Linked DNA regions of Oreochromis niloticus. The protein of the gene in region 2 interacts with the protein of the main gene of each other region in a pairwise test. Links are inferred from orthologs where the notes say so. Each region holds a gene or a part of one and is shown on either strand. Other genes may lie near its edges.

Region 1 (6,995 bases), on a different chromosome or scaffold from region 2:
TTTCCCGTTTCCTCTGTGGCGCTGACTCTCTCTTGGGCCGCACCATTTACAGCTAGCATTAACTTTTCACCTGTTAGCTTTAGTTGTGTAGTCATGCTAAGTTATTGTTAGGCCCAGGAATTTTAGTAAGTTGTAATGGAGCCCGTAATGAAACTATTGGTATCTGCCTTTGTCATGATAGATCTTGTTAAGTAAAAAAGCAGGAAACTACTACAGTTTATAGTTGAGTAATGGATAATAGCGTCTAGAATCGTGTGTTGATTTTGTAGCATTAATGTAACTGTGCTTGTAAGGCTTGTCGCTGCTGCATTCATTGTTATTTCATGCTAGCTGTCTTTTATTTTTCCTTGTATGTACACAAGTGGAAGATGAGATTTACGACAAGGTCGTGGATCTGACAGAATACGCTAAACGTCAGCGATGGTGGAACCGCCTTTTCGGAAAGAATTCCGGCCCCATAGCTGAAAAATACTCTGTGGCTACACAGATTGCAATAGGTGGAGTGAGTGGATGGTAAATATTCTCATTAAAATGCATTATGCTGCCTTTAGCGTTCCTAGTTAAGCACTTCATGTAGTTGTAGTTCTAGTAAATATGAATGGCTGAGAAACACCCTAACGCAAAATTAGAAAATCTCAAGGTTAATTTAGATGGTTATAAATTGCTCTGTGTCTCATCTTGTTTACAGTATATTTTCTGTTGGCTGATTGGACACGGATGTCTTTATTTCTTAAAGTACTATGCAAAAATCTCTAGCCACCCCACATTTCCTTTGCTAGGAAAATATGAAATGTGTGCAGACATTATTTGAAACATGCAAACATATATGTCATACAGTATATAAAGCAAAACAGAGTTTATACAATACTAATGACCTTGAAAGTGATCAAGGTCATGAGTATTCTTCAACAGCCTGAAGTCTCCTCAGAAAGCTTTCGTCTAATTCCTTTAAGCACTCTTCAAAGATAGTTCTTCAAAGTTCTCCTTTGAATGCCTTTTGTTCCATTCTTTGTCATGATGATCTCACACTGCTTCAGTAATGTTGAGGTCCAGGCTTTGCACAATTGGTGGCTGACTGCGTTCCACCGTGTTTTTTGTTTGTTTTTTGGAGGGGGGGGGGATTCTATCCAGGTATACCTTTAGCAGCGTGTATGGCAGCAGTTTCATTATTTAGTTTCAGTTTCCAAATCAGACACTTTGGAGATGACATTGCATGGTGGATCAAAGAACTTTTACTGTGTTCATGAATTTATTACTTTTGACAAGCGATTTACAATCCAGTTCTTGTGTCATTTGGCATACCTCAGAACTTGGAAAGGAAAGTCCAAAGAAAAAACATTAAAAGAGCATCAGAAGGGCTGGAGAGCTACTGCTCAAGGCCACTTTAAAAAATGACCAGGAGGCCTGGCTCCTTGGAAGCAAAATATATTGAAATGAGGAGTAGCTCAAAACGTTTTGCACAGTATTGTATTACATATAGTGCATGCTCATCTCGCTGTTCACATGTTACTGTAGCAGAGAGACAAAATTGTATTTTGCCATCACTTAAGAAAACAAATTTCACACTCCCAACTTTATAACTCTGCAGTTAAGGTATCTTGCAAACAGTGTCTTAGTTATACTTTATCAGTGGGACCTTTCACATCATGCAAACCTTATGACAGTGAATGGCCACCTCACAATGGTCATTGTTAGGCTAACTTGTGTCATTATTATTGTTAGATCAGCTACTATGCTCTCTTTTCAATTTGCCTTAGGTGTGCAGGTTACCTCTTCCAGAAGGTTGGAAAAGTTGCTGCTACTGCAGTGGGGGGCGGTCTTCTGCTTTTACAGGTATTATTGCATCGCCCTGCATAAATATGTGCAGGTTAAGCTTTTCAACACGTTGACATTGTTTTCATGAATCTGTCTTTCTTCAGGTAGCTAACAACAGTGGTTATATCCAAGTGGACTGGAAGCGAGTAGAGAAGGATGTCAACAAAGCTAAGAAGCAGTTAAAGAAGGGAACAGATCAGGCAGTCCCTGAGCTCAACACATTTGTTGAGAAGGTAATTTTTTTGTGAGTTGTCTGGTTGATTGTGAGATCATTTTCACCCTCCCGTTACAATGAAAAAGCGACTGTGTCATATGAAATATGATTTGTATCTTTCAGTCCAGAGAGTTTGTGAAGAAAAACATTGTCGTCACAAGTGGCTTCATCGGAGGATTCCTTCTCGGCCTGGCATCTTAGGACCTACCGAATGAGAAGAGTGTATTATTGGGGGGTTTTTTGTGTTATGTTTCTGATGTTATAAAAAGCTATAGAGGATAATTATAAGTCTTTGCTTATAATTAGCAATATTATAATTAAGTTCTCAAGAGTTTTAACAGCAAGTGACCAACAGATACCAGTTTAGCTTGGAGCTCTGTGTTTTTACTTAAGCTGCATTGCAAACCCTTCTGTTTATAACATCGTACTTGCAAGTATTTTTGATATAGACGTGGGACTTATTTATTAGCCCAGAATGGCCGTCTTGAAACACTCCAGTTTTAACGCCAAATAATAATACATATCATGGAAATTAAATTAAAAAAGGAAACCCAACAGAATGTTTCTGTTATTATGTATTTATTAAAAAAACGGACAATGTTCCAGAAGGAAAGATTTCCCACTGTGGTTGTGCACAGTTGGGGCAAATAGATTTCAGTTCACCTACACATGGCAGGGGATGCATGTCTTTAGGGTATTCTATCAGTGCCACTGTTAATTTTTATATTTTGGTTCAACACGTTATAATCAATCATCTTCAAAGTAAACACTGGGTTACACCAGTCTTTGCAGTCTCTGTTTTTTTATGATCTATTATGTTTACCATCACTTTGGGTACTGAAGGCTGTGGTCTGACTATTATGTAAGTAAATAAAAATAAAGAAATATGTTGAATTGTGTCTAATTCAATTTACAGTGCAGTTTATTTAACTGTAAAGATGATGAAACCTAGTCTCTGATGCCTTTGAAGTCTGTTAGTATACATTCATCCATGCTTTGGTTCAATAATAATAATAATAATAATAATAAACTTTATTTATAAAGCACATTTAAAAACCAAGGGTATGCCAAGGTGCTTAACAAGTAACATAGAGAGTAGAAGGAAGATAATAGAAATAGGACCAAAGCAAGTACTAGGTATGCAAGCAGGTAGCTGTCACTGATACATAGGAAAGCAACAGGTACAGAGCAAACAAGAAATTAGAGCATAAAAGTGCATAATATAAAATCATAAAAATATTAACTAGAGCGAAAGGCAAGATTGAATAAGTGGGTTTTTAGTCGTGATTTGAACAGTGCAATGGAATCAGATGCGCGGAGGACAAGAGGAAGGGTATTCCACAGTACCGGGGCAGCCAGAGCAAACACGCGGTCACCCCGGGACTTCAGCCGAGATCTGGGTTGTGTCAGAAGTAGTTTACTTTCACTTGGATTTTGTAAAATGTTTCACATATAATTAGAAACAAAAATGAGCTGTTACTCTGGCCATTTATTTTTGTATGCCCTACAAGCATAATAGTTTACAGTTTATAAAGAAACAGGGTGTGTTATAATGTATTCTTAAGTCCAACTTTAATTTTTGCAGGATGTGTGTGGCATACATTAAATTATAATTTTTTTAGGTAGACTCAGAGGGCTTATAGATAGTGTAAAAGTTCCAGCAAGAATTATTTCCAAATCAGAATGTACAGTAAACTATAAACAGCAAGGTATTATTTACAGGGATAATTACTCAATTACCTTAGTAGAGGTGGTAAAAAATATACCAACTCTGATACTATTTGTAAACTTTAATATATAAATAGTACACAAGTACACAGTTTACTCTCTGTTGTACTTTTTAACTTGGAGGAAAAACAATGTATAATTTTTTTTTTAAATTTATTGGCTATGTTAGCATCAAAATATACGATGAACAGCAATAATTTGAATATTGTTATGAAAATAAAAATATTTTATTGGTTCTTTTTGTTGCTAAGAGACGTGTCCCCAATAGACGTTTCCATGGTAACAGACCAATAACAGACCGTTGGAACTTCAGGGCTGCTGAGTTTTATGGAGAAAGTAATCCAACAATTATAAGTATTACCACTATGGCTTTACCGTTTCTGCCAGGGAACTCTCCCAATGAAAGAGTAAGTTTAAGACACTTCGTATTTTTCTCGCAAATTACTGAGTTTCGTTAGCAGGCGACTTCCTTAGCTAGAAACTAACCCCAGGTCGCCTGTTAGCTAGAGAGCACTTAAGCTCAGATAAAAGTGGTTGTACGAGTGGGTGAGTGAGGTATGCTGTTTAGAAAGAGCTTTGAGTGCTCAGGCATATAAGAACCAGTCTATTTAACATGTTTTTAATAGAAAGTGCTCAGATATACTTTCTCCTTTCTGTACCACAGCTGGGGAAGGAGAAATTCCACAAATCCCAACATTTTGACTATTCCAGTGGAGTCCCTATGCTGGTTGGGTCTGAGAAGCCAGGCATTGGAGGAGAACATTTAGTTGGTCAGGAGATTAAATCAAAGTACTCCGTCTATCCTATAGGAAGTGGTACCGGTTTACCACCATGGGTAACCTTTGACAAACAGGTGAATAATAGAAACTGATTTTAATTGTCCACTCAGACAAACACAGACACGTATTATGGTATAGCTTTGTGTTATTTTTTTTACGTCTGTTATTAAGGTTTAAAGCTTCCAATAGCTTGTGTTACTCATTCAAGTAAAAAAAAAAAATAAAACCTGTTATTTTTTAAAGCCTGTCATCATTTCACTAACTAAACATTTGTCATTTGAGTAATTTTAGCCACAAAATATCACTTTGTCCTTCTAGGTTCTGTGTTTTGATGCATACTTCCAGGAGACTGTACCTGAGGCTCAGTCTGAGACGTACAGAATCAGAAAGTGTAAGATCTACTTCTTCCTGGAAGACGATACCATACAGGTTGTGGAGCCGGAGTACAAGAACAGTGGCATTCCCCAAGGTGTCTGTGATATAACAGGAAATATCTTGAGAATATTGCTTAAATTCAATTACAGCCTCAATAAATAAATAAATAAACAATTAGACACTATGCAAAATGTAAATGGAAACAGAATGCAATGAGTTGCAAATCTGATAAACTCACATTTTACTCATAATAAAAAGTTGAAACATTTTTAAGAAAAAAATAAGGTCACTTTGAATTTGATGGGCGGAAGATGAAGAAGAAGAGAAGACAGAAGAAAAGCTGTCCCATTCTTCTCTTATAGAATTATACCTATGAAAGTTGTTATAGAGGCAGTATGTGTTTTAGCAGTGTTTTGCAAGTATACAAGACCTTCACTGAAGACATCGTCTGGATGGGCGCATATGTTGCTCTAAAACTTGTATATGCATTTCAGCACTGATTGCACCTTTCCAGATGTGCACACTGCCAGTTCCATATTCACTAATGCACCCCCATACCAGCAAAGACGCAGGTTTCTGAAGTGAGGCTGATAACAACCTCTATGGTTCCTCTCATCTTTAGTCCCAAGGACACTGTGAAGAAATAAAAAATCAAATATTGCATTTTAATTTGTCTGACTACAGATGCAGTCTATTTTGCCTCTGTAAATTTTAAATGAGTGTTGGCTCAGAGAAGATGGTGGCGTTGTTCACATACAGTTTCTTCTCTGCATGATTGAGCTTTAACCGTTTCTGCCAACCATTTGTGGACAGTGAACAGCGATTTCTGGAAGTGTTCCTGAGCTGATGCAGTGATTTCCATGACAAAACCATGCCTGTATTAGATGCCTTCGGGGTGGCGATGATCATGGGCATTCAGCATTGATTTTCAGCTTTGTCTCTTGCAAAAAGACATTTCTTCAGACTGATATGGTTTTATGAGTTTGTCAATGATTGCATTCTGTTTTAATTTACATTCTACACAGCGTCCCAACTCTTTTGGGATTAGGTTTGGACTTTTGTTCATCTTCTGCTTTTTCCCAAGTGGCCCAAAAATGCAATATGATGAGAGTTTCCAGACCCGTTTGTTACCAATTCTGTGTTGGTGATCCCTGTCATAGGAACACTCATTCGTCGCCACCGTATCCCACTGCCTCCTCCAAATGAAGGCCAGTTCTACAACCTGTTCCATTTCAACATCAACCAACAGATGAAGCTGTACTCTCGCACGTTCACTGTGACTGACTGTGACGCTTTCACAAGGAACTTTCTGACAAAACGTGGGGTGCACGTAAATAACCCTACCACTGTACCTGAGGACCCCTACAGCAGCCTCCGGGAACAGGTGAGCATCCGAAATACATTTTTTGTTGTTTGTATTTTATTTCAACTCATATAACTCTGTCGAACTATATTTTAATCCTCCTTTATTTATTTATTTTTAAAGAAAGTTATAGTGAATAATTTATTTGTTTCACGCTCTCAGCTCAAAAAGAGTATGCAGCCGCTTCGGCCATATGAGAGACATGATACGCTGAAGCAGTTCTTGGACCATGACCGCAAAGTCCTGCGCTTCTACTGCTTCTGGGATGACTCACAGAGCATTTATGTTGACTTGCGGGAGCTCATACTGCACTACTTCCTGGTTGATGACACCATAGAGATCCGGGAGGTGATCCCCCCAAATTCTGGCAGAGACAAAGTGAACAAATTTCTTCGTCGCTGCAGACTACCTAAGGTAGGTAAGGCAGCGTGATAAGAGCGCGATAACAGCTGTCGAGAAATGAGAGAATAAGGAAGAAACGCACAGACAGGTTTATACAAAAGGGTAAATAAGGGCTTTTTTGAGCTTGAAGTTTTGCTATTTCTTTGTTTTAGTTAACATTTAAAGATGGTTACTCCTAACCTAAAGGCTTGCAGTGTCCCTCTTTCTGGTTGTGTTGCTTCTTTTCGTCTTCCTGCTTTCATGGAGACCTCATTCACTCTGACAGGACTGCTTTAGCACCCAGTTTCCCTCAAGCATGTAGGCTTTCTCCTCCAGTTAC
Region 2 (7,960 bases):
AGTCCGTGTTGGAGTTTGATTACAGTGTTCACTAAATACAGAATGATGAGTGGTAAAAGTGCTGCAGGCCTGGCTCATGTTACATATATAACCATGCTGCGGTAAACTGTAAACAGACTGCTTCTACTCTACCCAAGCATTTTTCTATGCATGTGCTTTCTATCCAGCATTCACACTGATGGATGCATCAGTATATGGCGTTATTTTTGTGCCTCTATTCTGAGTGCGCGTACATAATTTTTGCAAATACAAATGTTGCATTTTGAGGAGAAAATTATTTTGAGTGAAGAAAATTCATTGCTGCTTGCAAGAAATGTATTTCAGTGTTTGCTATTATCCATGTACACACACATATAATAACAACCCCTCTCGCTCAGTTGTTGGCATTTGCTCTTCCTCAGATCTCTTCTCTGTGTGCTGACAGGTATCTGCAGACCTGCTCCCAGTGTATGTCACTCCCACTCTCAACATCTGTGCTCCCTGCACGCTCAAGTTTTTCTGTTCACCGTTATAAATGTGCCAAAAAAACAAAAAAAAAAAAAAAAAAAAACACAAAACAAAACAAAAAAAACTGATGCAAAAATCCTAAATGGCTGTTTTTGTCTCCAATCAGCTCGCTAGCTACTGCATTCCGGAAACACTGTCCAAAGTGTAGCTAAATCCAGTGGAGTGCTTTGGTTTAAACTAGATTAAAACCCATTTTTGGTTAGTATGTTTAATTATTTTATTTTAAAATATATAATTTTTTAAGACCATTGTTGGTTTTATTCTAGTTTAAACCAAACCACTCCACTGGATTTGGCTAGTAGCTAAATCTTTATCTAATATCTTTTATCCTGTCTTTCTTTTCTCACCCCAACTACATGCAGCAGATGGCCACCCCCCCCCCCGGTTCTACCCGAGGTTTCTTCCTGCTAAGAGGGAGTTTTTCCTTCCCACTGTCACCACCGTGCTTGCATATGGGGGGGGGTCATATGATTGTTAGGATGTTCTCTGTATGTATTATTGTACAGTCTACTTTACAATATAAAGCGCCTTGAGGCGACTGTTGTTGTGATTTGGCGCTGTATAAATAAAACTGAATTGAATTGAAATTGAACACTTTATTCTCACACGTGTTCTCTACTGCACAAATATGGGCACTGCACAGCTGTAGATTAAATGAAGCTTGGAAACAAAAGATTTTTTATCGTCCACGCCGCCCTAGTTTAGCTGTCCGAACACGTGATCCTGAAAACAGCGGCCCTGTGATTACTGCACACAACATCAGTATAAATGTGACCATGTGACAGATGGCTGACTGACCAACATGTGTTAAGGACAGAAGGCTTCAGTGCTCACATGACAACAACGCAGGAAGTTTGCAGTGGCAGAAAGCCTCATGCACACCAGACCTGAGGACAGCCAGGCATTCAGTAGCTCACAGACTAACCACTTGGAACCTAACTATTTCCTGGCACAGCGACAGAGTGAGCCCATGTTCAGACAGCACCAGCAACAGCAGTGTGTTAGTGTGAGCAGCACTAAGCTGCTATGACTCTCCCTGGAGGAGTGTCATTGGAACTAAAGAGAAGATGTAGTGATGAAGAGCAGCTCTAACACATGGAGGGGGGGGAAACGTGGTACATACTAATGTAGTACTAAAGTACTAATGTAGTAAAACTAGTTTGTGGTGCAACTCAAATGCAGCTGCACCAAAAACTGATCCTGTGGATCATATGAGATGTTGTCATGCTCAGTGCCAAAGGTCACACGTCTGGTGATCTGACCACAAGAATGCTTGTACGTTCACGTGTAACCCTCCATGTATTCATGTACACTGCTCTGTCACAATCACTGTGACATTTCAAAATGAAATACACTGCCATGTCAGAAACACGCGTATAACAACATAAACAACTCTCCTTTCAGTCATTCCACTTCAAACAATGTTTTTAGAGAGTTTCCTGCTCAGTCATCTCTGAAAACTCGGACATGGATGATGATGACTCTGAAATTATACCTTCATATATCACATACTTTTCCACATACATTTACTTTTAAAGGCCTATCCACCCACTTTTCCACACTTTAAAGTCTGAGGCCAGATTTGAACATGAGCATTTCAAAAACTATTAAAGAAAAAAGTCTAAACTGTCTTACATCAAAATCAGGATCTGTAATTTAGGACAGACGTTAAAAAACCTCAAAGTTTATTTCTAATGCCACTTCCTGTACTTTAAACTTTCCCCGACTCCTCCAGGGTATGCTCGCAAAGTGTGTTTCCAAAAAAAATTATTTAACAATCATTTTCTAATTAGTCGAACTACATGTGCAAACTCAGATTAGACTGCCTACTGACATTTTTGTTTTCATGCTGCTCAATCCAGCACGAAAGTTAAATAAAAATTGCTTTTGTTTTTTCATTTTTGTGGTTCAGTGGAGCAGAAGGCCCCGGTGAGCTCAGATCATAGTTTCGGTTCCAGCCAGTCTCCGCCATGCACCTGTACTAAACAGTAACGTGGCTTCTAACTGCATGCGAGTTTGGTTTTCCTCGCAGGCACAGAGAGGACATAACAAGTGTGTACTTCCTTAATGACGCAGTGGGCCGAGCAGCTCTGTGTACTCACTCTTTTCAGTGGCACCGTGCTTCTGAACCAGTTGTAGTCCGGAGACACTTTAATCTCGTCCATCTGTGGACACACAAAGTAGCAGTCACAGGATGGCGGCGTGCTTCGGCCGGGGGAGGTTCGGGGAGCAAACACCGCCCGCCGCGGCTACCCGCTGTTAGCTCCGCGGCTAACTGCACGAGACCACCGACTAGACGACTTACCACAGATGTTCACCGCGGCCCGAGACGCCGTGACGCTGCTGTTCCCGTGCTACCCGTGGATGTCAGTCACCGTATCCGAGACTCCAGGTCCATGTCGGGGTACCGTCTCCTGGGCGGGCGCCTGCTCATGTGACTCCGCTTTCACACACTTCCTTAAAAGATCCTGGCTGCCGCGTTCACCCCCGCACCGCTTCTTCTTCGTCTATTGGTTTAATGAAGAATGGATCGAAAGCTTCCAGCGCAGCGCCCCCTGCTGTTTCCGTTTAAGCTAATAATCTAATTTATCTAATAAAAGCAAATATGGTGTAACTGCTCCAGGTTTGTATTATCGGCTGCACTGAAATTAAATCATTCACTGTTCAATAAAATCTTGGTTCTTCCAGTTTAACTTCTGTCAAAAACAAGTCATTAGCTTCCCATTACTCCTTTAAGCTGACTTGATTACAAACAAAAGACGCCTGAGAGGAGCAGAAAGAAGGAAGTGAGTGTTCAAAGCAGTCTCATGCTTTTGAGTCACAGGCATTACTTATGCTGACGGATTATTCCCATGTTTGATATGAGCGCCCCAACCCCTCAACATGAAATAAGGCAATGCACAATAGGTCCTTTCAATATTCAACGGCCTAACCCCATATCTGTTTAACTTTTCCTTTACTTTGGATTAAACCTGTATTGGAAATTTAAACTCTGCAGTATGCAGAGATCTCTGCTGGTTCATAGCTAATTAAGACTGGAATAAAGATAACTAGATCAGGAATGGGAGACTGAAAACTCCAAGATGGAAGTTCAATCAAAATCAAAACCGTAATTATATGGACGACTGAGTAAAAGAGGGAACCACAAGGGGATACTAACCGTAGGAAAGAATTAAAAGAGCACGAGACATACAAATACTAGAGAAATTCAGAAAAGTAGAAGAAGACAACACTGCTGTGAGCATGTTAGTCAGACATGTGGAGAATGATGACGAAAATGAGCAGATACAAAAAGATCAGCTTTAGTATATTACACGTATTAGAGCAGGGATTTTTTTCTGTGTGAGACCATCACATAAACACGTGCAGTGCAAACCACCACTATAACAATAACAAAAGATTAAACTTCCTAGCTCTTGATCTAGCTCCTAGATTAAGAATCTAGCTAATTGGTGCTGAATGAATAGAAGGGAAAACATTAAAATAATAGTGGAAATAAAACAGCTTGTTTGAGCCCTTTTCTGTTGTTGTGCTTTGGCAAAGTGTGCTCCTGCACCTTTTTCCTGGCTGCATGAGTGAAAACAGGCTGTGATGAGGATGACCTCTGCAGATGCGCACACACACAAACACTCGTAACTAGGGCTGGCTATCAATTTCAATTTCTATAACTGATTCGAATCCGAACGACATGGTCCTGATGTGATTCAATCCCTGATTCGATTCCATGTTGACTCAGACAGTCAGAAATATTAATATAATTCAGATCATTTCTTATATCTATGTATAAAAACAAAGGTGACACTTGTCAGACTTCATCACAGTAGATGCCTTTGTGTCAAAGGCATCTGCTGTGATGAGGATAAAACACAGAAAAACATGAAGGAGATTTTCTTGGCCTGGCTTTTTTATAGCAGGTAACCGCCTTAGACCACAGTAGACCAATAAGCAAACAAATAATGCAGAAAACAGATTTTTGATGGTAAACTGTTCTTGGAGCACAATGAGGGAGAGAGAGAGAGAGAGAGAGCTGTGCAGGAAGTGTGATATTATTGCGGTGGAAGCAAAACAGCAAGAGTGAATCTATGACGATGTTTTTCAAATGTGAAGTGTAGTGTAGTCTCCCAATTCAGGGGCGAAATCTTTCGGAGAAGACCGATTTGAAAGCTGATTATGTCACAGCGAGGTGACATAAATGCTGCTCCAGAAATGGAGCAAATGAAGAATATCGAAAAACTAAATGTTAACCCTTTGCACATTTCATCTAATTTTGTTTGGCAATTTACTTATTTTTACTGTTTGCCCTTTTTTGTGCTCCTTTATTTCATCTGCACTTGTCTGTTTGTGACGTTGATTATGAATGATACAGTATACTGTACTGTGCCATGTTTTTGTTTTTCAATAAATGCATTACAAAAAAACCAACAAAAACAAATGTGTCCTCCTTTTCCCCGGATTTGAAGATGGGTCGGGTGTATCCTTCGTTGTCCACGCTATCCCAGGATTCATAGCACGGCAGAAGAGTAAGCTTTTAATAGTAAGTACTCAGTTTTATGTCACTTATTTATGCGGCAAAACAAATGTTTTAAGAAGAACATTAAAACATTACTATTGGCCACGTGTCGGCAAAGTTATCTGACATTAGTGATGTTAGTAGCCTACTTAACGCGGTTTAGGTTCTACTTGATTTTAAAGCCTTTCAAAAGTTGACTTTAATCTTGCAGAGATTGTGAAGATTTTATGGATATTTAAAGTCAGGCTAAACCGTATTACACAGAACAAGCTGACATATAGACAGGCCTGGTTTTCAGCCCTGAATATCACGGCACAAGCAGGATTTATTGCACTCTTAATGTAAGTTTGATTATTTTCCGGCCTCTGTTTGGTGGTGTCGAGCCAAACAGACTTTAGCATTTGTCTTAATGAGCTGACAGTTCGCTCGTTAGGCGAAAAGAAAGGTGCTTTCTTCATAGGAGTCAAACATGTGGCCACAACTGGGAACTCATCTCATCTTATTTAGTACTCCTAATAACACAAAGAGAAAATACTCCTTCTCTTGTGCTGTTTTGTAGTACTGTATACCACCTGAGCCTGTCACTTTTCTGTCTGTCCTGCACTTTCACCTTCTCTCTTTTTTTCTTTCTCTCTGATTGTTAAATAAAAGTGTGTTTGAATCCTGCAGCTTATCACACATTTGATTTACATATCTGAAACCTGCAAGTGTCCAGAGTCAGGACTGAGGAACCCATTGCTGCAAATCATCTGTGAGGCTTTGCACCCCTGATGATCCACCAGGACAAACTCAGCAGTGTGTGAGGAAGAGCCAGCACCAGCTGAGAGATGGAGAGAATAGACAGATTGTTCCCTTTGTGTGAAGGACTGAAAGGTTTAAAATAACTAATTATCTGTCCTGAATCAGTCTTATTAGGTGATATCTAAAATAATTTTATCATTCAAGCGTTTTCAGTGTGGGAGAAAGTACTCAGGGCTTTCAAGTTAAAAACTATGACAGGCAGTAAAAAGTTTTTATATTCAGAAACTTAAAGTATGTAAGTATCAGCACCAGTATGCACCTGAAAATGAGTATCCATATTTTATAAGGATGTTATGTGTTAGTATCATTTCTGCCCAGTTTGACCCATTTAGCAGAAATCATCGTGCTTAAGGCTCTGCTATCTATTCTGTATGACTTAAAGCAGTTATGATATACCACGTTACATATAACATACATATAATAATGCACATTATGCAGTACGCTTCTGCTGTGAGGTCCTGCCTCCATGTACTTATGCATTTAATCTCTAGATGGGTATATTTAAGTGTGCCTATGCCAAGAGGCACACTTATTACTATTCGTCGGATTTATTAAGTATGCCTATGCCAAGAGGCACACTTATTACTATTCGTCGGATTTATTGTGTGGATGCCCTCAAAGGGCTTCCACACTATTGAGTTCCTGTTTCTCTTTATTGTGTGGATGCCCTCAAAGGCATCCACACTATTGAGTTCCTGTTTCTCTTTAAACTTTATTCTTTTTCAAGTTGCTGCGCGTTTTTCGGCACTTAACTACTCCCTCAGTTTTCAGCCGATTTTCTCCGTTCAAACTCTAAACTGTTCTGCTATTTCTGCTAATTCCAGCTATATCTTTTGGTGTTTATTACTATTATACTTTTTAAAATATTACACTTTTTTCCTTTAATTTGTCCCATTGAAATGAATGGAAAACTTCCACAACTCTGCTAAAACTTGCTTGTTTTTGAAACTTAACTACTTCCTCATACTTTCACCTAGAAACTCCATTCAAACTTTAAAATGTTCTCAAATTATTGGGCTATTCCTGTCTGATTCAGCTTTTTCAGATCTTCTACCGTTTTAATTTAATGCCTCTTTAAGTTTTCAGTTGCAGCTTTGTGATTTTTCAGAAAATACATGCGTTGTTATGGTTGCTATGCAATTAACTCACAGTGAGCACTGGTCCTTTCTGAAACTTCTCTTCATGTCCGAACAACTTCTTGCTGCTCACTCAATTTTCATTCAACCCCCGCAAATTATACATCAAAACGTAGGTATTTTTGCTGACTTTCAGACAATGTCACTATCTTTATTGTGAGATTTACCGTTTTTTCACAATTTGCCTCGAAGTGACACAAGGTTTCAATACTCCCCATTCAAAGTCTATGGGGAGGTTTTGAAATTCAGAGCTGAAATTCTGTAACGGGAGGCATTTTCAAATCGCCATATCTCTTAAACAAAGCAAAGTTAGGACATGAGGCTTGTGCCAATATATCTTCAGACACTGCTGACACTCACAGTGGAAGCAGTTTTTACAGTTATCTTACCGTTGAGCAATGAATTACGTTTGTTTGAGGGGTGGAAATCTGTCCTCCTCTCAGTTTTCAAACTCCGAAAATGAAGCCGTTTCTTCTCTCGTCATATCTCCGCGACGGAGGTCCAAAGAGCAATAAAACTTGCAGTCAAAGTATACCAAAGTCCGCTGATTCACCCAGTACAAGAATTATGCCGCTAGCCCTCCTAGTTTTTGAGTTACACGATGTTTTGTAACTCCAAAAAACGGCGCTTTTCGCCTCTCACCGCGATCTATTTCTGATTGCTGATGTCTTTGTTTTTCAGCCGCCCGCCCCCTTTCCAGGTGGCGCAATCAGTAATGATACGGCTCTGCAGCTCAAACGTCGTGGGTTCAATCCCACCTTGTTCAACTTTTTTTTTTTCACTACAAATTTATACACTATCACAGACCTGTAATTTATATTGCTAATTTTTTTCACTACAAATGAGTAGTGCAAAAACATACTATGTCTGCAACATCACAGTATATCTGTTATGTTATAGTATTACTACTAAATCACAGTATTTCTGCCAATTCAAGGAGGCTGACTGTTACTAAGTGCATCAGTGTACATAGGTCATCTCTTGTGTTGGAGTGCCCTCTTGTGGC
Region 3 (7,443 bases), on a different chromosome or scaffold from region 2:
GTTCCATTGTGAACAAAGTGTGAGTTAATCAGATTTTCAACCCATTGCATTCATTTATTCATTTATTGTATCATATTTAATTTTTTTCACACAGTGTCCCAGTTTTCTCAGAACTGGGTTTGTTTGTATATCAAATGAGGCAGCATACATACTGCCACAACAAATACCATGTAAAAAGTGTGCATAGTTGTATCTGTTCACAGGATTTTTAAACAGTATTTAAAGATGTAGAAATGGCTAATGCAACATTTCCCATACCCAACAGATCAGTTTAAGCTTGCAAGTTTGTGATCAAATCCTTCATGGATCACAGCCCTCTGCTATTTAATTCTCCCTTACAACTGACTATTTGATCACTTATCTTCTTGTAAAGGTCTGCAAGACATCTGGACCAAAATCCATTTGTAAGCTGCTTATTAGCATTTACAACTGCAGACTTGATGAATTATGAAATCCATGATTTATTAACACTGATAAGTGTAGGTGACTATTTCATAGTGGCTGAGTAAAAATCAAGACTCCAAGATCCTTTCTTAATATCAAATGTACAAGCACAAACCTGATAAATATGAAACATCAGCCATTATTTAATAACCTTTATGTATATGTTTAATGTAATAAATGCTCACACCATGATAATGCTAAAGCTGTAAATCCTATAAGCAAGTTTGCATACAGAATGGCACCAATGCAGCTGTTAATGGCATTTCCAAATTGCATGTTGTCAAAGTAGACTACAGAGCGATGGGTCTAAATGTTGTGCTTTTAATAATTGCATTATTTTGCATGAATATTTCCAGCATTTTTGTATCCTCATTATCTTGTAAGTACTGGAGATGCTTACACTGCATTACATAATCAAAATGTCACGATCTAAAGCAAGAATCTAGTTTTTGTTTAGCACATTTTTTAAAATTTTGTCTGCTATACCTTATGCAACTACTGTTTGCTACAGAAAATGTCTAATCCCCGCTGAATGGCAGTGGTAGCTGGAGGTTGCTAGTGCTCGCTGGGTGAAAGTGGTTGCAAAGAAGGTGCTGCATCAAAAATCTTCGGTTGCTAGCTGATTGTATGGTTGCCTCAAATACTATATAATTGGTAGCAAAGTGGTAGTACAACTTGAAAAAGTGTGAAAATCTGTGCCTCGAGGTGCAGCCAACGTGTCTCAAAAGGTGCAACTTCCTTAGCAACGGGTGGTTACCAGATGGTTGCAGACAGGTATCGAGGCCTATCTGATTGGGGCCTTATTCACTCAATCTTACACTGATTGACACACATCCTACATGACATGGTTAACAGTAATTCCAATTCAGTTCAGTTTTATTTATATAGTGCCAAATCACAACAATAGTCGCCTCAAGGTGCTTAATATTGTACAGTGGAGACCCTAAAATATTACAGAGAAACCCCAACAATCAGATGACTCCCTGTGAGGAAGCACTTTGGCAACGGCGGGAAGGAAAAGCTCCCTTTTAACAGGAAGAAACCTCCTGCAGAACCAGGCTCAGGGAGGGGCGGGGCCATCTGCTGTGACTGTTTGGGGCTGAGGGGAGGAAGACAGGAAAAAAGACATGCTGTGGATGAGAGCCTGAGATTAATAATAACTCATAATTAAATGCAGAGTGGTGTATTAACACCATGTGTGGTTTGTGGTCATGTATATTCAAGACCTCAATAACAATTTCTGAGCATCACGAGATATATCATAGTTTCAATAGCAAAACTAATTTAATGTTTGTGAATGTTTTATGTGTTTTCTGATAATTCACTGGAGAAAACTCAAAAAACTAATAATAATAATTTGAAAAGTAGTGTTTGAAAGGTGGTCTTTTTACCTGCATTTTGATAGCAGGTTCATCTTCTAGTCGTGACAAAATCATTTTTAATTGTATTTTTTTAATGATTAAAAATGTTTTTTTAAGTGCAAGACTCTGACCCTGTATCACAGGAAACAGCAGACATGCATCCACATACATATCTGCCAAGCGGGCAGCTTTGTTCATCCTTTCGCCTCTACTTAAAATGTTGTTTGTAATTTGTGTTGTGATGACCGTGATGAAGGCCCCAAGTCAAAACACGTCTGTCAAAGAATTAAATTGTTCTGTATTCTAAAAGTATTGCTGGAGCTTTAAGCTCCTTTGCTCCATTATTCCATTTTCTTAACTTCTCATCCAGCTGAGGGTCACAGGCATGCTGGAGCCCATCCCTGCTGTCACAGGCACAAACTAGTCCGTCACTGTGCCTAAGTTTGCTTTTTAAAAATTTATTTTGCTTATTTACAGAATCACGGTAATGGACTGTGGCTCTCGTTCAACTCTATTTTCTCAGTTTTAAGAAGCGTGTGACCTTCAGCTACAACCAGGATTGTTTAAGTGGGCTGAGAAAGAGAGAAAACCGCCCCTAGAAACCTAATCATAGTGATGCCTGTGGATTATTGCAGGGACACTGCTTCTGTTCCTGTTAAATTTTTAAATGTCATTTCTTATTGCTGCAGGCACCACAAACAAAGTTCCAGTTACCTTCATGAGGAAGAAGGCAAAAAATCTCAAATGCATATTTCACAACTTCAGCTAATAAAACCAAAACTGTGTGGACAGATAGAAACTGTTTTTTATAAATCTATGTCATACGGGCATAAGGACTGCAAATCTTCCTTGAGATCATTTCAGTGTTTCTGTTTTCTTGTTGCACGAAAGACAAAGACAAAAAATAATAAGAACATCAGATGCAATAAATTTATTTTACACTGATAAATCTGAAAACATTTAAACTGCAGGACTTTAAGAGCAGACCTCGGGAAAAGATGACTCAAAGCAATGTTCTCACTGCTAAATCATTTGACTCCGTCTTCAAACCAAATAATGGCTGCTTGCATCATTTTTTACTGTCATTTTTTTGTGCGTGCGTGTGGAGACAATGTGTTCTAGTTACATTCGAAAAACCACAGATGAATGGTTTTATTTTTTATATTGAAACATCAGATCCTCGTCTTTATTAGTTATTATTATTACATTTGTCACTTTGAAACTACTTGGCATGGACTTGGCTATTGATTATGTGTCACTTTATGGGCTAAGGGGAAAGCTCAAATCCCATTTGGCCACTACTTTAATCAATGTTCACACTGGTGTCAGAACTGTCTAGTTCTATTATCACGTAGCCGAATTTAATGAACACCATCCTTACAAACTAGATCCAGTAATAATCTAGTTTGTGTGGCAGATGGATCACAAAGCCATTTATCGCCATCTTTAGTCTTATACCTGTGCTAGCACTGGAATTTTGGGCAGCATTCAGTTTAGTGGTGTCTGGTAAATAATTAGTAATTACTCAAGCAACCAGCCTGAGGTTTTAGAAGGCCGTTTGGTAGGTTTTCATATGCAGTTATTTGTGTCATACCCATTTATCTCCAGTTGAGGGCAGAAATACTACTGAGGGGGTTCTAATCTCCTTTGAATACAGAAGCAGGGAAAGAAGAGGGGGATAGTGTGAAAGAAGAAGAATGCAACCTTCATGCGCACCTTGTAAGTGAAAATTTTAGAGGTGAGGAGGTGTGCACAAAAAGCTTTTGTTTTAGTCATCTGCTGTAGTATTGGTCAAAGATGACATGAGAAATGGTGCTCCACCTTAAGAACTACCAACCCCCACCCCCGCAATGCCTTAAATAAATCATCACCTTGCACCACCACTTGTGCCAAGGAATGAAGACTGTCTGCGTGTTATCGGCTGAGATGATAAAGAAAAAAAATCCCAGATCTTTGCGGGCTCCAGATGTCACCTGGAAACATTTTAATCACAATTTTATTTCACAAAAAGACATTAGATGTATTTGATGAGATTTCACTTACACACATACGGGCCCCTTGTTACAAAGAGTGAATATTATTATAATACGGTTATTATAGTTAAACCAAATTAAAAACTGAAATTAGGTGTGAGAGGGGGAAAAAGGTTGAGTTTAAATAAAAGCCTAGACTTTAGAAAAGAAATAATTAAGTGAAGCAATAATTACCTACTTACTAAATTCTTAGTATAAAATAAAAGTTTTGTGATGGGGCATTGGTGCCTGTGTTTATTGATACTGGAATGTCTGCTTGTCTCTGTGTCAAGTATTTTTATCGCTGTATTGTATTTTTGCCCTAAATCTTGCCGCTGACGCATACCACCCATTACATTATAAATAAAAAGTGAATCTAATACTTAACCTAAAGAATTAATGAAAAATACACTAAAACTGAGCATTCTCAAACAATAAAAACAAAACTGAAATGACACGTTTAGCTCCGGAAACCGAATTAAAAACAAAAAATCACAACAAAAAAAGGATATTAAATACGCTCATAGTCTGTGTCACTGTGGTCTAAAATAAATATAGCTTTCAGAAAGGGGAACCAGCGGTTTATGTACGTTTTCTGTTTCAGATTGAGACGAGAGTGGTGATATTACCGACGGTCCCTGAAGGCAGCGGCAGAAGAAGGACGGATTCCTGGCAACGCCGCAACAAAGCTAACGTTAACCATGTACTGCTAAGCCGTGTGAATGCATCAGCTTCGCAAACATGTACTTAGGTGTTTATCTGGGCCGTCTACCAATTGATATCTACCTCATAACTTCCTCAAAGGCGCGTTAACACATTCATAATGGAATTTTTTAACGAGCCAAGCTAGCCCAGCTAGCACACTTTGTCTTCGTCGCAGCCACAATCGGTTGACTAGCTAACCAGAACGAGTTGTTGTTAGCTTAGGGCTAGTTTTGGCGAATATGGCAATTGTGTCTGGGTCCTGTGCCAGGGTAAACGGGTCTAGAAACGGGCCTCCTGTGTCAGCTACACCCTCTGGATCCGTCGGGCAGTCTCAGCCCATGATAGCGGTGTGGGAATGGCAGGATGACCAGGGCTACTGGCGGCCTTACAGCGGCCAGGTGAGCGCCTACATCGAGCGGTGTCTGTCACCGCGGGGCCACAGAGGAGGAGCACCCGGCTCTACGAGCATCTGTCTCGGACAATCAGACCCCAGCCTGTCGCCTTACCTCATTGACATACCAAGCTTGAAGCAGTTTCGACAGGACACAGGTAAACATATCTAACACGTCATGGCATGACCTTTACGTTTATTCCTCGTTAACGGTTTTGCCTCAAACCTCACAGGCCCGGTTGGCTGTAACGTTAGCCGGCTAGCATTAGCTTGCAGGGGCGCTGTTGTTTTGATTGATGTAAGCTGAGAAGTATGCATAAAGTTACAGTTCTTTAGCGAGATTTTTACTGTGAACCTAGCTACAAATCATTGAAATACGTCACAACATTGTGAGATTAACATGTAAAGATGCTTGGAGTGTCTTAAACTGTCATAATTTTGTGTGTGTGTATGTGTGTTTTAAATTGAGTTATAGTCATATATGTAATGTGTCATTAGTTCTGGCATACAAGTGAATGAACAGGGGGCTTTTCGTTTATGTCTTAAAAACAAAACACACACACAACTTTGCAGTTTTCATTCAGTTTATTCACTAAAAATCAATGTGCCTCTTTTATTTTTAGGTAAGACCCGGTCAGTACGCCGGTCTCTGTTTGCCCAGTCCTCCGGCCTTGGTAGTGGTGTTTACTGGGAATGGGCCAATGATGAAGGAGGATGGACCCCATATGAGACTCGAACCTCTATCCTTTTGGAGCACAGCTATCAGGCTCGCCAAGGCACAGCAGACCTGGGCCCGCATGGATACAATTATATAGTGGATCTCACATCTCTGGCGCAGGTTAACAAATCGACGGGTTTCAGACGCCAGGTGCGACGCCAGTGCAACCTCCCCTACCCGCTGGCTTCTTCCGGACCCCCAGCTATCCCCTCGGGCCCCGCCTGCTCCTGCCAGCAGTGTTTAAGCCACAGCAGCACCGGACCCATGCCAAGCCGTTCGCGACATTCCTTCTCATCAGGGAGTCTGAACCGGCCTAGTCTTCAAGGCACAGGAAGGGCTGTGGCGGCTCATCCCACTTCTGTCTACTCCCCGTACCCCAGGAGACCTCTCTCAGTTGGTGGCATGTCCTGGGGCAGCCCCTGGGCTCCACCGACATCTGGCAGCCAACTTTCTGCATCTCTGACCAACTCTACCAGTGCCAATGGGTTAAGGTTGGTATCTGACACCTATCCTATCCTCAATTGTGTGGTTTGGTTAGATGTGCAGGGTTCATGTTACAAGGTCCTCTATCTGCTTTCCTCCTCTTCCTCTTTGTCTTTCCTGCCTCTGTCAGTGTTGACCTTTCTTGTAAAACAGGAAAGGCGGAAAAAAAAAAAACAGATCTGTAGCTCCAGTACTTCATTGGTATGTTTGCTTTGGCTCACTTCCTGTGACTCTTGTCTGTGTCATCACTGACCTCCCTTCTTTTTGTTCCAGATAGCAGAGAAAGCTTACTTACAGGACAAATTGCTTAATTCAGTGGTATAATAAATATCTAGTTCACTTGCAGCTTCTCTGGGCTTTAATTTTTTTGCACGCTGAGTTTTAGCCACTAGAAATTAAAACTAGTGTATTAAAAACATGGTTGCTCAGTAGACAAAAGAATTGCCTACATTTTTGCGGTGAATGTTTACATTCACTAAAGCCCACACTTTCACATTTCTCTTTGAGGTGTATGCTTTACAAAGAGAAATGGTTGCCATGTGTTTAATTTAATTCAATTTTTTTAACTCCTGGGTGTGGATGCTAAAGGAGGTGCACCCATGCATGGAAAAAATAATCATTATTGTGTAATAGTACATCATAATACTCCCTTTCAAGTACTTTAATTGCCAAGACTTGTATGACTGAAAAAAATGTTGCAAACTTCCTGTCCATTGAGTCACTCCACCCTTTTGGGTCACGGCTGCCTGTGGTGTTCTCCCTCTTCCCTGCTCCTTGATCCCAGAGCAAGGAGTCTGTGGAGTCCATCCGACCACGGAACCACAGAACAAGGGATTCTCTTAACTTGGCTCACTTTCTGCTACAGTTTGGCAGTCGGCTTCAGCTCTCTTTTGTTCACTGTGTGGCTCTCCTGGGTCACTGTGCCGCCTGGGGCTCGCTTCGCCCCATCTGCGCCAGCAAATTTCCTGGCGGGTGCCCTTGTAACATGAACTGCATGGTCAAAAACATCCGTTAGTCTGGATCCACCATCATCCTCACCTCTATTTTAATTCCTTTGTTATGTTTTTCATTTGAATTGTATTTAAAAGTTTAAGGTCAGTTACTGTATTATGTTTAACTTAATGAACAATTGTATTACTATCTTTATCTTTACAGTTGCGGACATGCTGTCATAGCCCATAATCATTCAAGCAATATGTCTTTCAGACTTCTGTGCACAGAGCCCTTTGGCTACAGAAATAGACCAGTACCACCTCAGCACTGAGTCAGTGTTGCCTTTTTGCAGCCCTTTAACTGGATTTAGTTTAGCGCTCCATCATACTCGAGGAC
Region 4 (6,884 bases), on a different chromosome or scaffold from region 2:
AAAAGCTCCTTGAAAAGTCATTCAGTTGATGCAGAATATCACAGCCAGAGTATTGACATGGACTAGAAGGAGAGAGCATATATTGACATCTCTTCATTTAAGATTAGTCTTAAAACTTTCCTTTTAAAGCTTATAGATCAGATGACACTGAACCCTCCCTTAGTTAAACTGCAATATGCCATGATGCACTGAGTGCTTCGTCACTTACTGTCTAAGGAGCTTGGAAAGAAAAAAGCGTTTGGACTTGTTTAAGTTGCTTGAAGACTCTCATCCGAGAAGCTTCTTCAGTTCTAGGGTTTTCAAGCAACTTAAACAAGTCCAGACGCTGTTTTCTTTCCAAGCTCCTTATAGACTACGATGACCTGGATGACTGAGAACCTTCACAGACATATTCTTCACTTACTGTGCGTTTATACATCACTCTACATTAATCATTAGTTATATAATCTCTGGCTCTTCTACATAGTGTCTTTTACCCCGTCTCCCTCCCCCAACCCCGGCAGATGGCTGCTCCACCCTGAGCCTGGTTCTGCTAGAGGTTTCCTTCCTGTTAAACTGAGTTTATCCTTCCCACTGTCGCCAGGAGCTTGGTCAAAGGGCGTGATTATTGGGGTTTCTTTCTAATATTGCAAGGTCTTTATCTTACAACATAAAGTGTCTTGTGGTAACTGCTGTTACGAATTGGGCTATATAAATACAATTGAACTGATCTGAATCAGATACATTATTATAAGGCTTATGTTATCCGTTATTGCACAAGATCACCTGTGTAACTTTCTGTTAATAATATTACATTAAATTTTCATATGCCTGTATTTCTGCACAAATCACTATTCAAATAAGGAGAACATACACAAGATTTTCTTTAACTATTCTGAATTAAGTACAGCAATGTGAACACCACAGATCAGGCCTTTTACACTTAATTATTGTTATCAGGAAAAGAAAGGATACCCTGAAAAGAACTGCAGCATGTACAACAAGAGCTAAAGCTGTTCTTACCTTTTTTCAATCCACTGCAGCACAGGGTCCCATTCATTCTTCTGCAGCTCGACTAAACCATGGGGCTCATCTACTCTGTAACTACACAAAACATAAATCCTACAATATTAAAGTCACAATAACTCCAATCAATTGGTGCCAACTAAGCAACATAAAAAACATCAACTCAGAAAATAACCAGCTAAGTTTGTCTACAGTGTGTCGATGTCTCTTTTATAGGTGTTAAAACACTGATTTATTAATAAAATGAATAAATGAGTGGCTTCTATGAGGAAAATGTTTTAAAATGTGATATATAACAGTGTAACACAAGTAGGTTTTATCAGCAGGAAGGGGAGTCAGATATCCATTTACTCTGCTACTGTAACAAAAATAAATTTGTTTTTAAGTCTAAAAGTAGAATTTTCCATATTTATCCTGTAACTCTGATGTTGGCTTAAGGAAAATAGCTGAATAACATCATCATTATGATCAGGAAAGCATACATATTTAAAGCTATAAAGAAAGAACAATTAACTGTAGTGCAATTCGAACTGTTCTTAAAGTGTCATAGCACTATGCAAAAGGACATTTTTTCCCAAGGTGAAAAAGGCGAGTATAAGTGTTACTGGATATTAATAACATAAAATAGTTTGTTTTATTTCATGTCTTATTTTGTATAAATTCAAATTTAAATAATTATCAGATGCGCACGTGGAACTGTGAATGCACATGGGTGTTTATAGGATATATAGACTATGTAGATGTATATACATTTATTTGCAGATGAGTTTATGTTTGAAGTTTCAGAAAATTAAACAAACCTAAAATAAATAGAAATAAACGAGTGCCATACCAGATGGTGTCAGTCTCCAGAAACTTGAGAGCAGCGGTGATCATTTGTTCTTTGCTGCGTTGGGTGGGATTGTCGAGAGCCGTGTTGCACAGGGTAGTCTGAGGGAAGAGTTTCCCAAAATTAATATTACTGTAAGTTTTGTATAAATATCATGGCAAAGTTAGTTCAAAGGTACACGTCCTGCAAGCTGTTGGAAGATCTGGGTAACATTCCTTTTATAAATATGATCTATCAAATCATAAAAATCCTCTCAAATTTTCCTTTTCTCTCAAGATTATTTTATGTAACATAGGCGCCACCGTAAAAACAAACACAAAAAACCCCAAAACATGTGACACTTTGCTATAACTCCATGTCAAATGCTTTACCAAGTGCATAGTGTAGAACTTGAGCGTGTCCCTTTGAGCATCCCACTCAGTTGCAACAGCGATGGCCAAGGCTTCATTTGGCACCGTGAACAGCTTCCCTCCTGGAGTTTTCAGCTTCCTTTGGTCGAGGTTTATCTCATATAAACCACCTATATAGAGATATTTTTCAAAAGATATCCACTAAATTAAGGAATGACACAAGCATAAAGATGGGGCAGGAAAACCTGCTACTACAATACTATACTTGACTGGATTACTAATGACCATACTACACATACCTTCACTTTGAGATATGCTGACATCTTGATAAAATCTCTTCCTCTCTGGTGAACAGAAAAACGCCACATCAGGGTGAAATGACACAAATGTTTTGCAGATGACCGGAGCTTTCGTTCACGGTGGTTATTGCTCTTACCTGCTGTGGCTGCGGAGTATCTCGCAACACATTCGTAGTGCTGATTTCTCAGACACACCTTACTGAGAGAAAAAGCATTCCCAACCTGACTCTGAAGTCTAACTATACACCTAAGCATAGCGGAAAGTATGTGAAGATGTGATGCTTTTAAGTAAGGCTGACTGAGAAGAAAACACACCTTCGAGATGTCTGTGTCTGAAACGTCCTCATTAAACAAGAGTTAGCAATGCACGCATATTTTCCTATTAGCATAAAGTCTTATTTTTACTGCATTTATCAGCTGCTCAGTTCTTAAGCATCTTTGTGTTCAAAAACACGCGTGTGACCTTCGGCGCTTGACAGCAGCGTAGAGGCTTCTAGTTTCTTCGGGAAATGTAGTTTAAAGAGCGCTTCTATACGTGCGCCACACACCCTTACACAACAGTTGAAAAACTACATCCAAATATTTCCACGAAACCTTCCGCACGGCGAACCAATGAGCTTCGAAGATGTTCGAAAGCCAGACTCAGTTGACCAATGAGAGCGGAGGATACTTCTGGCTACAACACCGCGTCGAAGTCCACTTCTTTGGGAGCTTGGTTGCTGGTAAACTGAACTGTAGCGGAATTAAGTGGAATTTTAATGTTGTTGGACCTCTTCGGCTCTCCGCCACCTCTTTGTAGACGCCGACAGAGTACCTCTCCTCGACGGCAATTGCCCGCGGTCGGTGCCCGGTCAGCGAAGCCGGAGCCATGCCTGTCCCCGCTGGATACCTCAGCGACTCCACCACCGCGGCCTTCACATCCTCGGCCTCACTTATCCCGCCGCCCCCGATAAACACGCAGCAGCCCGGTGTTGTCACTTCGCTCCTGTACAGCGGTTCCAAATTCAGGGGCCACCAGAAAAGCAAAGGAAACTCTTATGACGTGGAGGTTGTTTTGCAGGTGGGGCAGTGAAGCGACTATTTCGTTATTCAGTCGAGATGTCAGAGGCATTTGGTCATCTGTCAAACGGGCGGCATGATGATTGACAGCTGGTAAAATCAGCCCTGTCCTGTCCCGTAGCAGTGCCCACGACTGAATACAAACAAACATTTTAAATTTGTTGTCAATGTTTTAATGCATCTGAAGTAATTTATTACTAAAAATACAAATAAGGACATTCAGAATTGGTGTGAAGGCCTACACAAACATTTACCTCAGTAGAAAATTATTTGTATTTGAGGTTGCTGTTAGAAATTAAATATTTAGCATTGCCTTTGTAAAACCATAACATGATCTGAACTGATGTCAATGTGATGTAGTTTATTGTATGTCTTGCTTTCTTTTTAAAGCATGTGACCATGGAGGATTCCTACTTATGTGGCTACCTGAAGATAAAAGGACTAACAGAGGTGAGAGAGGTGATTCCCTTCATTAAAGCATGAGCATAAATAATTTATACCATGTCTGGCCACAGCTGTCATGGAAATTGTTGTGACTATTTTTGTAGTAGCAAACATGTCTAACAGTGCCAAGAGAAAAAGGCATTAACATAAGACAACACGAAGACTATTGGGCTTTTCAACCAAAGTACCAATTGATGTAAAAAAAAATTCACTATGGAAAAAGTAAGTACAGTTGTTTAGCAAAAGGTTTATTTGCCCAGAGTAGAGAGGCTAGCTTCTTGAAGGCTTTATGCAGTGTTGTTCAAAAATCTCTTTAGGCAAATTCCTTCAAATGCAAGATTTTTTAAAGGTTTTCTTGCACATACTGTCCACTTTTTCCATTAAACATCTACTAATTCATTTGCTGGTCACTGTAAAATATCAATTTCTAGTTTAATTTCAACTATTGAACCTTTTCTTTGAGTGCTCTTTGAAATAGTTGAATCAGTAACTGCACTCTCCCCCTGAGGCAGAGCACATCAGTTATTGTGGCCGTGCAACTCCTTTTTGATTGGGCTGTCGAGAACACATTGTTCTAATATGTATGGTGTCTCATCAATAAAAAATGTTGTTGGATTAATAGTTAAAAGTAGTTTTGAGATTGCCACACAGGTCCTTAAAATCCTGTGGTTAACTTGTTAACGGCTTAACGTAATAACGCTTTAATACCTACAGAAATGAGCGGGTAGTCTGGATCGGCCACAGACAGAATCATGGCAATGGTAGAGAAGATATAAGACACCCAACATGTGTTATTCAGTAGGCTACATTTTGAGCTCACAAACACACCATTTGAGTTTGTGTTGAGGCTGCTTGGCACCAGGTGTCAAGAAAGGCAAAGTTTATCACGGGTTGAACTCACATGGCCACACATAACCAGAAGATAACGAAATGTCAAAACAAGACTTTAGTTACAAGTTAAATGATTTCCTGAAAACTTATTTTTAGTACCCTTGATAATTGAGGCCTCTGGTCTTAATCTAAATGTTTAGTGTCAAGCTGTAGCTTAGCAAAGGTGTTTTCCTTTCATGCCTTGTAGGACAAATCTTTGCAATTGCTTTCTGATTACAGACATTTGCACTTATTCAAGTTACCCTAATGAAAATTTGTGATTCTAGGAGATTTCTTTTTGCACTAAATTTGCTAGGCGCACACACAAAGAGAAATTTGCTTCAATTTAGGGTTCTTTTTAAACCAAGCACAACACAGGACAGCTGTAGCTCAGGAGGTAGAGCAGTTCATTTAATAATCAGTGGTTCGATCTACATGCCAAAGTATCCTTGGCCAAGATACTTAACCCCGCATTGCTCTCAGATGCATCCAGAGTGGGAATGTGTGTGAATGTTAGATAGTATGCAGGCATAGAAAGAAGTGCTTGTATGAATCCATCATGTTGTATAAAGCGCTTTGAATGCTCAAATAAAGTAGAAAAGTGCTATATAAGAACCAGTCCATTTACCATTTACCAAGACTCATTGGCATCCAGAACCGTATCTGTAAAGGTCTTAGAGACCTGGAACCAGTGTTAAGGAAGCTGTGATAATGTGACTGATGTCTGTGTATGTTTTCTTTTTTTAAATTTAGATATACAAAGCTTACTTCCAGCTCTAATTTATATCCTTTGCCTCTGCTAGAGTAGCTTTGGATGATTCTGAATAATCTTTATTGGGCTTTCATTTCATCCTCTGCTTCTTCCTTGAAGACCACGTTCACTTAAATTCAACTTTCTTCTGATTGGTGGATGTTATACTACTAATCATGCCTTAATAGCAACATTCAAAGATAGTGTAAATAAGATGTTATCAGCACACTGGCAAAATAACCATAACACTATGTTGTTAGGACGTGTGTTAAACTCTATTTCACAGAGTAAATTACAGCTAACGCAATACATGCTATAATTAGAGTCCTCGGTTATTACAGAAGTAATTACTGGGTAACAGCTCACGTCTTTGTGTTCCTGCTGTACAGAGCATCCAGAACATTCCCACTGTATGAATGCAGTGGTGAACTAGCTGTGACATTGTGTTGGCTTATTACACATACCTCTTATATGTCAGTCTCTAAATGATCACTTTCTGCTGTGTTTTAGAATAGAACTGTCTTTTATATAATTGAACATTAAATAGACAGATGTGTTTGTTTCATTTAATATTACTTTCTTTTTAATTGCAAACAGTAGAAGTGACCAGATGTGTCTTCAATTGCTTCTCGTTGTTGTTTTAGGAATATCCAACTCTGACCACTTTCTTTGCTGGAGAGATCATCAGTAGGAAACGGCCATTTCTCACTCGGAAATGGGATGCGGATGAGGATGTGGATCGTAAGCACTGGGTAAGGTGAAACCACTTTTATTTGTAAATTACAAAAATTAGTCTCCATCAGACTGATTTATTCTGTCCTATCCTGTAAACGTTTTTGTGTCCAGGGCAAGTTCCAGGCCTTCTACCAGTATGCAAAGACATTCAACTCTGATGATTTTGACTACGAGGATCTGAAGAACTCTGACTATATTTTCATGAGGTGGAAGGTATGATTACCGAAGAGTGAACTTAACTAAATTCTGCAGTAGGTTGGCTTTTATATTTCTGTTGGTCTTTCTCACCTGCCTGCCTTAGGAACAGTTTTTGGTCCCTGACCACACAATAAAGGACATCAGCGGCGCTTCCTTTGCAGGATTCTACTACATCTGCTTCCAGAAATCCACAGCAACAATTGAGGGCTACTACTACCACAGGAGCTCCGAATGGTAACGCAGCACACTAAAAGTTATTGTGATTCAAGGTTGACTTGTGTTAGGAGCTTTAACCAGTTGGCTCGCCTCTGAAAAGTTGCTTTAGACTGGCTGAAAATCTGGTT

What was found.
Region 1: the proteins of spg21 (region 2) and efhc2 interact in binary tests that used the Homo sapiens proteins (3 or more experiments, as listed by UniProt). The two-hybrid records come from large-scale screens. The link is inferred for Oreochromis niloticus from reciprocal best matches to the Homo sapiens genes SPG21 and EFHC2.
Region 3: the proteins of spg21 (region 2) and dtx2 interact in binary tests that used the Homo sapiens proteins (3 or more experiments, as listed by UniProt). The two-hybrid records come from large-scale screens. The link is inferred for Oreochromis niloticus from reciprocal best matches to the Homo sapiens genes SPG21 and DTX2.
Region 4: the proteins of spg21 (region 2) and atpaf2 interact in binary tests that used the Homo sapiens proteins (3 or more experiments, as listed by UniProt). The two-hybrid records come from large-scale screens. The link is inferred for Oreochromis niloticus from reciprocal best matches to the Homo sapiens genes SPG21 and ATPAF2.

Annotation. Positions count from the first base shown.
Region 1 is NC_031987.2:31,111,079-31,118,073, reverse strand, and holds the start of efhc2 (EF-hand domain-containing family member C2), read left to right. Parts: upstream 1-3,990; 5' UTR 3,991-4,122; coding exon 4,123-4,164; intron 4,165-4,421; coding exon 4,422-4,610; intron 4,611-4,854; coding exon 4,855-5,005; intron 5,006-6,071; coding exon 6,072-6,295; intron 6,296-6,436; coding exon 6,437-6,688; intron 6,689-6,995. Other genes in the region: fundc1 (FUN14 domain-containing protein 1), read left to right, coding at 363-513, 1,758-1,833, 1,920-2,048, 2,153-2,230. UniProt on the Homo sapiens protein: Microtubule inner protein (MIP) part of the dynein-decorated doublet microtubules (DMTs) in cilia axoneme, which is required for motile cilia beating.
Region 2 is NC_031965.2:4,634,434-4,642,393, forward strand, and holds the start of spg21 (maspardin), read right to left. Parts: upstream 3,015-7,960; 5' UTR 2,813-3,014; intron 2,673-2,812; coding exon 2,610-2,672; intron 1-2,609. UniProt on the Homo sapiens protein: May play a role as a negative regulatory factor in CD4-dependent T-cell activation.
Region 3 is NC_031975.2:27,654,527-27,661,969, forward strand, and holds the start of dtx2 (putative E3 ubiquitin-protein ligase DTX2), read left to right. Parts: upstream 1-4,434; 5' UTR 4,435-4,761; coding exon 4,762-5,071; intron 5,072-5,536; coding exon 5,537-6,122; intron 6,123-7,443. UniProt on the Homo sapiens protein: Regulator of Notch signaling, a signaling pathway involved in cell-cell communications that regulates a broad spectrum of cell-fate determinations.
Region 4 is NC_031973.2:20,994,634-21,001,517, forward strand, and holds the start of atpaf2 (ATP synthase mitochondrial F1 complex assembly factor 2), read right to left. Parts: upstream 3,022-6,884; 5' UTR 2,873-3,021; coding exon 2,799-2,872; exon of another isoform or gene 2,739-2,798; coding exon of another isoform or gene 2,683-2,738; coding exon 2,621-2,682; intron 2,529-2,620; coding exon 2,484-2,528; intron 2,355-2,483; coding exon 2,206-2,354; intron 1,936-2,205; coding exon 1,838-1,935; intron 1,084-1,837; coding exon 1,003-1,083; intron 1-1,002. Other genes in the region: glucose-induced degradation protein 4 homolog, read left to right, coding at 3,352-3,543, 3,933-3,992, 6,252-6,359, 6,454-6,555, 6,644-6,774. UniProt on the Homo sapiens protein: Plays a role in the assembly of the F1 component of the mitochondrial ATP synthase (ATPase).